Neodiprion lecontei: one gene and its partner. The protein of the gene in region 1 interacts with the protein of each later gene in a biochemical or structural test. Links are inferred from orthologs where the notes say so. Each region holds a gene or a part of one and is shown on either strand. Other genes may lie near its edges.

The links.
Region 2: the proteins of eukaryotic translation initiation factor 2 subunit 2 (region 1) and eukaryotic translation initiation factor 2 subunit 1 form a complex in vitro, tested with the Homo sapiens proteins (2 studies listed by BioGRID and IntAct). The link is inferred for Neodiprion lecontei from reciprocal best matches to the Homo sapiens genes EIF2S2 and EIF2S1.

What each region holds. Positions count from the first base shown.
Region 1 is NC_060261.1:38,616,458-38,621,929, reverse strand, and holds eukaryotic translation initiation factor 2 subunit 2, read right to left. Parts: upstream 3,718-5,472; 5' UTR 3,563-3,717; coding exon 3,545-3,562; intron 2,951-3,544; coding exon 2,690-2,950; intron 2,446-2,689; coding exon 2,292-2,445; intron 2,218-2,291; coding exon 2,185-2,217; intron 1,917-2,184; coding exon 1,726-1,916; intron 1,466-1,725; coding exon 1,181-1,465; intron 1,101-1,180; coding exon 1,056-1,100; 3' UTR 629-1,055; downstream 1-628.
Region 2 is NC_060262.1:24,018,668-24,023,589, forward strand, and holds eukaryotic translation initiation factor 2 subunit 1, read right to left. Parts: upstream 3,071-4,922; 5' UTR 2,911-3,070; intron 2,593-2,910; 5' UTR 2,588-2,592; coding exon 2,350-2,587; intron 2,084-2,349; coding exon 1,852-2,083; intron 1,739-1,851; coding exon 1,506-1,738; intron 1,155-1,505; coding exon 1,039-1,154; intron 846-1,038; coding exon 657-845; 3' UTR 517-656; downstream 1-516. Other genes in the region: 40S ribosomal protein S20, read left to right, coding at 63-325. UniProt on the Homo sapiens protein: Member of the eIF2 complex that functions in the early steps of protein synthesis by forming a ternary complex with GTP and initiator tRNA. This complex binds to a 40S ribosomal subunit, followed by mRNA binding to form a 43S pre-initiation complex (43S PIC).

The sequences.
Region 1 (5,472 bases):
GCTTCGCGGTATTAATTGACAGATTATACGCCGCGTGAATTCCCCATCACGCAAATGATCAAATATACGGGCCGAAATATCCTTGCAAACTTTTTTCATTTTAACAAGGACTGAATATCAAGACGCGAATAGCACGCAAAGTTTCGGCGGTTAAACTGGAGGTAAATTTTCAAGATGGTGACGTCTCGACGATTTACCGATTGGCGATTGTTTATACATACAGCGACGCCACCACTCACTTTCGCAGAATCACGTCAACGAAAAATTGACGATTAGTATGAAAATGGTTCTGGATCTATGTTCAGTACAATACATTTATGGCATGACATAAATAAATATGAATATATTCTACTTTTGTCCAATCAACTCGTACAATGTATTTGTAAATATTTACTCACAACTGTCATTTTAGCGGTGGAAAATTTCCATACTGGTTACTTATATCGCCATGCACTCGATATCATGTAGTGACAATGTAATTATGGCATGATTGTCGCGTACATTTAACCTGACCCGAAGCCTGATCGCTGCTTACGTTGCACTGTTCGGATATTTTGAATTTAAACTTAGACATGATAAATTAATAAATTCAAGTTTCAGAAACATTTATGAGAATATTCAACGTAGATGATTTTGAGATGAATTTATTGGCTAGTAAATACAGATGTGTACATTACCTATAAGAAACGAACGTGAACACTTCATGACATCAATTTAATTCATCTGATTATATATTGCAACTGTTGGAAATTGATTTAGTATAATATTTCTTAGCATTACTTTTACGAATTGCAGTTTGAACAGCGTTTTATTTAAAACCTTGATTATTATTATTATTATTGTAGTAAGGCTATGTACAAGGTGACAAAAGGTACAGTACATAACATACACTCTTTACATTTACGTACGCGGTAAAATTATTGTAAAAGTTCGATTCAGCAGCTCTTTGTATGTATTGAATGTTTTATTTAACTTTTTTTCTATTGAGAATAATAACGTACGTGATAATTTTGGGTTTGTGTTTTCTTTCGCGCTCATTATCACCATAAGTGTGTCTAAGTCGTTTTTGCTCTGATAGCCGCACGCTTTCCAGTCACAGCCTGAAAGCAAAAAACAAATGTCAATACCAACTGTTGTATATTGTCCAGTAGATGAAACGAAAAATTTGTTCATAAATTACCTGGAAACCAGATTTGATGCTAGCGACGGAGCACCTAGACCCACACGATTCACACTGAAGGAAGAATAGCCGAGTATCTTTCTGCAATATGGTGTCAGGGGAGCGACACGTGTGACACGTAACATACTCCTTGATGTATCTCCTTAGTACATTCTCTATCTGCTTTTGCTGGAAGCGACCCTTGATAATAAGCTGACTATTGCCATCAACAGATCCACTGGTTCCCAGTTCAGCCAGTAGGAAGTCCAGTAAGTGCTTCGGCTGTCTGTGCAGTGTTTTACAAATCTGGGAAAGATAATAAAGGGTCCGTTTAATTTTTCAGACAAAAGGGTATTCTGCAGACTATGGCAAATTGTAATTCATTGGTGAGGGCTTCAGGTTTGAATATTTTGCGAGAATATACTTACAATCTATGAAAAAATGAAAGAAGGAAAAAAAAAAAGTCACTTTGTTTCAAATTTTCGCAAGTAGGGTATCGACATATTGATTATTCCCATGCATTTAGTTTTAAAACTATTACATCAAAAAGTTAAACAATTCAATACCTCAGTAAAGTTTGCAAAAGAAGTTTTCTTGGTGCCGATTCGTACGACTTGCGGGGGCCTCATGACAAACTTTTGCTTCTTTCCAGCCACCATGTCAGGATTTTTCTCTCTCATTATTTCAAATACTCTGGCTAGTAGCTCATCATATGTGTAATCTCTGTCTGAACCAAGCCACGACGTGGTGTCCTCGACTGGTACAATGGAAAAGAGTCATCAAAATGTGACTAAAGTGGTAACAAATTTCTTAATAGCATTACCATGAGAAACAAAATATAAATTTAATACTTCCCTATTTTGGTTTACTACTTTGTAGCAAGTACAAACGTGACACGAAAAGGTAAATATTAAACTAAACAGCGAAAGTAGAATTGTGACACAAACGGCTAAGAAAGCATAAAAACAAGCATTTTAGTGCAAAAACAAATACTAGTCGTTATCTAGTCGACCAACGTGTCTTACCAGTTTCTACACTTCGCTCAGATTCAGTGAAGCATGTTAACAGATAGAATACACGATAAGCAACTCGTAGCAAAATAGTTTTTTCAGAGTTTAGTCTCAATACTTACCATTTTCCCTATCTTCTGCTTCCTTCTTTTCCTCTTCAGCTACTAGGTTATCGAGAATGTTCTTCCTTTTCTTCTTCTTTTTGCCCGAGAACTCCATATCCAGGTCAAAGTTACTTTCCGCAGGCCCATCTTCACCGATTGGCTCTGCGCCATCCTTAAGATAATAGGGTAAGTATTCAAAATGTCAAATCACTTCACCAAATGAATCTGCGATCCTGAAGTCACTCAAGAAATCGCAGCTATGTCTTTCGAGATGTATTTCTTGTGTTATGTTTTTATATCTTTAAATCATGTTCCATAAAAACAGCGAACACAAGAATTCAACAATTATAGACTTTCATTTCATCGCTATAATAAAATTCATATAACTTTCAAATCATTCGGCACGTAACACCTACTTCCTTCTTGCTTTCTGGGAGAGCCATATCGAGTTCATCTAGATTGAATGCCTTCTTCTTTTTTTTCTTTTTTTTACCAAAATTTTCTAGATCAAGGCCTTCGTCGTCATCTATCGCTCCCAATTCTGGCTCTTGATTTTCCTTATCACCGATGCCCTCGGTGGCTTCACCACCGCTGCCGCCCTCAGCCATTGCAGCATCGAGATCGAAAGTAGTCTTCTTCTTTTTTTTCTTCTTTATTTTCATAGTAGGATCAAAGATCTGAAAAATTTAAGTTTCATTAACTATCAGTCCCATCTATATGGTGAAAATCACAGGGGAAACGAATCTATAAAATCATACTGTTATTGAGAAAAATATAAGTACCGTCGACGATGAATAAATATAAGCATATTTTTAGCTTGAGAAGCATTGATTATCCTATGAATTATTATCGGTATAAAGTATTACGCAGGAAAAAAATGAATGGATGATACATCATGCAATACGCAAGAAGGGTGTTTATAGTTCTATTTTATCGCTTTATCCAAATTATCACGGATATCAAGAATGATTGTTGTAACTCAGACCACAACCACACAGATCACGTGGACGCATGGAAATCTGCCTGAAAATCCGTGATACGTTGATACAGGATTGAGGTTGTGTTTGCGATGTATTATTAAAAAATTTCTGATTCGAGTCATGTAAACTGGACGTAAAGCCAAGCAATATTCACCACATTCGGGGGAATAAATGGCTACAGAAGCGTGTAATATATGAAAAATGCGTAAATGGGAACACGTTGTGCCATTCAATCTGTGCACTGTTAGTGAACCTTATCCAGTCACAAATATTGGTTCATTAAATACATACCGAATCCTCTTCGGTCATGTTGATAAGAAACAGAGAACTTTTCTTTTTGTACGTAATTTGGTTATTTCGAGAATATATTTAACTGGTTTGTCGGAAGAATGAAAAATACTTTCTGACGTCTATTGCATCAGAATATTCTCTCGGTGCCACATGCAGGTACAAGAGATCAATCGGCGAATCAAAGCACGCAAAATAGCAATACGGTGGGAAGCGAAAGCACCCGATTGGTAGAAACCTCCATCAAAATCCGGTGTCTGACCGACAGCTGCTGCCACGTGCTGAGGGCGCGACAAGTCCGTGAAGCTCTGACGGCTCATCAGAGTGAAGTTCAGGCACGCCTACGTCGTTTCCAGTTAAATTTGACGAGTGAAAACGAGATGCGAGTACTCCTTGCCGGCTAGTTTGAGTACCTACTTTAGTACGCGGCAAAATGCATCTATATTGAGACGAATGATGCTTCGAAAAATGCGTCTCGATTCCTTACGTGAAAATATTATATTTCTCATTTTCAGTACGCGTTGAGAATAATATGGTCGAATTAGAAGGAATTCAGCTTTGCAGTGCATAACTGTATGTCCTCTGGTCGCATCCTGTTCGTAATTAGGGTCAGAAGAATGTGTTATCTCATACATTCAGCTTAAGCGCTAGTCAGTACAGTATGCAGTATCAATAATTTTATTATATTGACAACATCACGACTTTCGATTCCCTGTGATTGTTTTTTTTTTGTTTATTTTCGTCGTTTGAAACGTAATTCCAAACTATATCTTATCCGTATCCGAATAAAATTACTAGTATATCCATACTCCGATTTATAACTACAAATTATATACTGTAATTAAACTTGATAAACTTGAACCACACGATGTTCTAGTCATGTTATACCCAGTTCCCGGAAGTGTAATGTCCGTTAATTTTGAGCGTCTGAGTCGTAGAAAAATCATTGCACGGTCGTGAATATTAGCTCATTCGGTAAATTTGTGCAGACGAATTGATTTCGTCAAATATCGCTGCTGGTTATACGCAGTCACGACTGCAGGAGTTACCTGGGCAATGAGTTTCTTGTTATCGAATTGAACCGACGGCGCCCGCCAGCCGCAGTTGCGCCGTTCGCAAGTCGCTTGCGCAAAGGCGAATAAGTACTTACCAATCGCCAACAGGCGATTTCAATCGCGTTCGAACCGTGAGTTTCGAACTCAAAGCTAAAATCAGAGGAGAAAACAGTTGGTGTTGTTGCCCGCTGCCTTCCGCTGGTTCCTGCGGAGTTAAAGTAGTGCACGCAACCGTACGTCGCGCTACACTATTTGACTATTCCATTTCTATGCACGAATGCGTACATCGTACGACATACGTGTAGTGCCGTATTAGAGTGGGTATTGGATGTACCGAAACTATACGGATATTGCTGCTCGATATGTTTGTCGGGAGCTTAGTTGCACAGCGGCTGAATATTTCTTCGACAATGTGACAGTTGATGACAGTAGGCGGATATATGATACAACGGTCTCATTTTTAACCGCATTTAGTTCGTGCAATATATTTCCTCATTAGAATATAAGGTAAAATATCGCCTATTTGAAAAAAATAAAAAAAAGAAACGTTCCTCGATGCGGAGTGTACGTACATGCATGTTATGGAAAGTTTATTTGAATGCTGTTTGTATGAAAATAAGAAAACTGAAAAAACTGGGCGCTGAATTTTATGATAAAATGTAACCCGATTGTAAAATAATAACACCGAAAAAGTGACTTCTGCTCGCTGCAAACGTTATTATAACGCTAGTTACGTCTTAAATAGAGAGTGTGAAAGGTTCGTGGTGTGACACATCAAATATTACAATTGTTTACAGTGGTGAAATTAACGCGAGAGAGTTTTCCATTATTGGTTATGTTTTGCCTTGCTACATGGGGTATAACAATCGCATGTAC
Region 2 (4,922 bases), on another chromosome or scaffold:
TTTTGTATGAAGTTTAAAAATTAGTATCAGATTTTAAATTAATGTTCCTTCAAAATTCACAGTGTGTACAGAACTTATCACTGGAGCTAAGAAACAGAAACAGAAGCTGAAGGTGAAAGGACCTGTCCGTATGCCAACCAAGATTCTTAGGATTACGACACGTAAAACACCTTGTGGTGAAGGTTCAAAGACTTGGGATCGCTTCCAGATGCGAATTCATAAGAGGGTAATTGACCTTTACTCTCCGTCTGAAATTGTGAAGCAAATAACCAGCATCTCGATTGAACCTGGAGTAGAAGTTGAAGTTACCATTGCTGACGAATAAACCATTGAAATGAAATTTCAATAAAATGTTTGAATAAAAAATTAAAAATTAAAATACCTGGATGAGTCTTATTACCCCTTGTGCCTATACCGTATTTTTTAAGCAGCTCTAAACTTAGACGTGGGACGCTGAAAATTAGAAGTATCGAAGGAGTGAAGAATGGAGATATTAGATAAATTAAATTCATTATATTCTTATAATATTTTTCACTTTATTTGTAAAATCTTGTATCATAAAGTCAATGAAAGTGATTCTGCACTTGATAAAGTTACTCGCCAGATGCGGTCAGATAGAGAAGGATGAATACAAATTCGTTTGTGTCGCATATTGTTTAATCATCCTCCTGAGAATCGTTACCGCCCTTTCCCGCATCTTCACCTTCTTCGCCCCCACTGAAGTCACCCATACCCTCAGCTTCTTCTTCTTCATCATCGTCACCTGCCACCTCTGCATTTTCGAGTTCGGCACGCTCCATTTGTCTTGCCAACTCAGCTTCGTCAGTTGCTGTCACAACTTTCGGCTGAAAATGTAGTACAACAATTGTCAAGATCTCCTTGTGGCAACTTTGAATCTTTTGGTAATTCATTGTTCTAGTCAACAGAGACACATTTTTTTTGACTTTGTCATATATCGATACAACCGTGGCAAGATGTATTTAAAGATTAATATCTTTAAAAGCACTATCTCCAACAAGCTTATAACTGAAAACTCACCGCCATTTGAATGTCGAATACACCTCCAAGGGATATAATTTTTTCCTTAATCACCTCTATGGCATCATTCAATGCCTTTAAACCGTCTTGTTTCTCAGGTGTAGAGGTTGTCATGACTGGAATATAAGGAAATGAATATTGAATCACCTAATAATATATGAAAAATATTTAATGATATCTGGATTTGCAATAATTCAGTATCTAACCATCAAATCACATTGACTAATTCTTGTAAACATGCATTATATGCTTCGATTATTCAGAGTATCGATTGAGAATCCAAAAAAATTTCTGTAATTCACTTGTATTCTTCACCTGAAGAAATACAATTTTATAAAGAAGTTTTTCTGATTTGCAAACTTGAAATCAGTCAAAATCTTATTACATTTTATTACACTGAAAGTGTGAAGTAATTTAATACGTTACTGATTAATGAGTATGATAATCAATATTAATCAGATATGTACCATACAACGGAGGGGCTATTAAATTGATTTTGATCGGCAATTCTTCTGTCGTCAGAGCCAAGCCAGCTTTTAATGCAGTTTTGACAGCATCTATGCCTTCGTAACCGTAGCAAGCAACTTCAACATCAGCACGAATCTTGACGGCTTGAGATGTGAGTTTCCGCTTGATATTGTTCAACAATACTTCTTTAGTGTGATCATCCAAGCCACACTCGGCCAAGATGGAAGGGTCCCTGAAATACAAATTTTTTATTCACAGACTTCCCTTTAGTATTTAATTTTTTAAAGCAATTTCCTCAAACTCAAAAAATAATAATTGCTAATTGCAATCAATAAGATGACTCACAATACTGATTGTTTAAAGAAATCATAGGCTGATGCCTTCTGTTTTTTATATTTTTCTTCAAAGTACCAAGCTGTCTTCTGGTACAATTCCTCCAGCTGTTCGTCGCTATCATAATGCAATAGCTCAGCAACATGACGTAAAATCGAATTCACTGCCTTAGCTTTGGCAAATCGTTCTGTACATTTTTCTACATCTTCAGCAGATACTCGTCGTTTACTCAAGTCAATATACCCTTGAAAAAACATTCAATATTAAAATTGATTACATAAAGAATCAGAATGGGTAAGCACATTGAATTTCCTAGTTGAATGCATTGTTTAAGGTGTACCCTAAAATTTGGTGAAATTGTAAGGAAATTTGATGTGAATTTTTGTCTGCATTGTGTACAATTCTCAGATTCTATAAGGTTTTCTGAACATAGTAATCACTGAAAAACGCCGAACTGGCATTATGAGTATGGATTGGCTTAAATTACAATCAGCCATAAATTATACATACCTTTATCTTTGTCAACTCTGATGACAACAACAGGTTCCGTTTTTCCGACTCTGATGAGTTTGTTGATGGAACGAATACGTCGCCTTGACAATTCAGAAAGAAGAATCATGCCTTCGATATTATTATACTCCAATAAATGAACATAGGCTCCCATTTCAGCTATGCTACGTACATTGACCATAACCACATCTTCAACTTCAGGATATTTCTCCTTGTAAAACCGGCAAGATAACACCATATTGGCTGAAAGAAAAGATATAATTCTTTTATCACAGAATGTAGAGGGTTGATCTGATAGTTTGCAAAAGGAAAAAATACAATCTGTTTTGGAACAATAATTCTTTCAAAAAAAGTTGATAGCTAGACATTCTGCGGCAGGTTGTCATATACAACACGAACTTTGGAGGCGGGTTAGGTGAGGTTGTATTAATATCATGCAAACATTCCGTATGAAATTGATGAGAAACGTAATATGGAAGCGGTTAGCCAAATTTAAAGGTTATCTTTTAGGTTAGCCGTACGAAATATGCGTTATCTATACAAATATCCATCTGCGATTACCTAGATTCTATGAGCCTATGAAAATAGAAGTAGGATTAACTAAGGCCGAAGAAATTTACTCGAAACTGTAAACTCTATTCAAATATGCTTATAATCCATGTGGGATCGGGAATTTACTACAGACAGGCTGATGAAAGTGGCAAACAGCAGCTCTCAACCAAATTACCCACTGATTTCTGTGCTCTCAACCTATAGGGTAAAAAGTGTCAGTAACCCCAACCAGCGCCCCAACCGCACATTCTTATTTCGTGTAAAATCTGATTCGGTAGTTGCTTTCTACCGGGGACATCAGATAATAATTGTATTTATATGCATAGTGGAAGGCTCTTTTCTCATCATGTTTAATATGATAGAGAAAAATTAAATTCTAGGCTATTTAAATCGAGCATAGGTCTCAACTGTTTACAATCGCCGTGTCTCACGAATGAAAGACTTAATTTTCCGGTTAACTGTGACATCCTAACGCGGTGAATTCCGGACAAATTATAAGGTAGACTCACAATTGAAACACGAAAATAAGCTGGGACGTTGTTATATAAATTTTTTTGAAAAGTAGTTGACAGTAGAGTCAGTTGAGTAATCTAGAAAACAAGCAGGTATACAAATTTGTCATAAAAATTTTGAAATAATTTTCTACAATACAGTATTTTCTTTCTTCTTTTTGTCATTTTTAGTACCCGGTTTTGAACGAGCTTCGTTGTTTTGTTATTTACCGTTTGTCACGGGAGACTTGCTCGTTTGGTATGTAAATATCGTGTTTCATTGTAACAACTTGATCAAAGTTGATTGCGGATGAATATGATTCGACCCGAACAGTAGTTGATAGTTGTTTGATGCGTGACACGTCTGTGCGTGACACGTCTCACAAAAGGCGCGTTTGGAATTGAATTTACGAATTTTTGTAATACAAAAAATTCAAGAAAGAAATTTTACAATTCAACGATTTTAGTGGGTTGACTGCGAAAGGTTAAGCGGGGGAAAAAGATGTTGGAATTGCCAAAGTCTTAATTGCCAAAGCTATGTGCACCTTGTTGACTTGAATTAAGAAACGAAATTCATAAAAAAATTAATGTATTCACGTGGAATTCACTCTATTGCACTAGAGAAATCCGAAGGTATCACGATTCCACATGTGTTACATATTATCGAAGACTGAGTTAAATTTACACAACAATAAAGTTGCCATTTGACAAACTACAATATGTAAGTATTTGACCAGTGAAAATAAGCACACTTATGCTCGTTTCTACACCACAGCAAGCGGTAGAGCAGCCGGCGCGTTTTTTTTTTTTTTACGTGGTATCCCCAATAGGCCTACTCCACGGAGAATACTTGCAAGATCGATTTTACATTCTTCGAAACATTGCAAATGACTTTTTTTCACATGTCAATCATGGTGAATTGTTTTTCCCAATCAATTTGTACTCGTGTATATTCACAGTTTGTTCGACATTTTTGAGTCCATATAACCCACTGATTATTTATTATCGATGAAAAATGAATATTTTAATTATGAATGAAAGATGGTTGTTTTAATTATGGATGAAGAGTGACTGTTTTTATCTTAGATGCAAAAGGCGATTGACTTTGGATGTTCTCGCAGGTTTTTTTTTCATGACGTATGAGATAATCGCTAAATGGAGAACCTGATGAATACGCAAAACAATCAACAACTGAACCATGATCCAAAACACGAATCGCTGTAAGACGTTGACATTTACCTATCGGGAGATGATGCAGAAATCTTTGAAGAAATGGAAAAAAATCGGAGAAGAATAAGAACAACCACCAAAAAACGATCGCAACCAAAGACTGTAAAACCATACAAAAAACTACAGTTGAATAAATTTTACTACACTTTGTGATCACGATCATTATGAACTACATCGCTAAACCTATGTATCGGTGAAAACAAAATGACTAACCCTGAACCAGACCTAAGCCTAAAAAATGAGGCGTTAATTTTTCAGTATAGTTGATAAAACTCAGTTACCTGGAACAGATAAAAATAT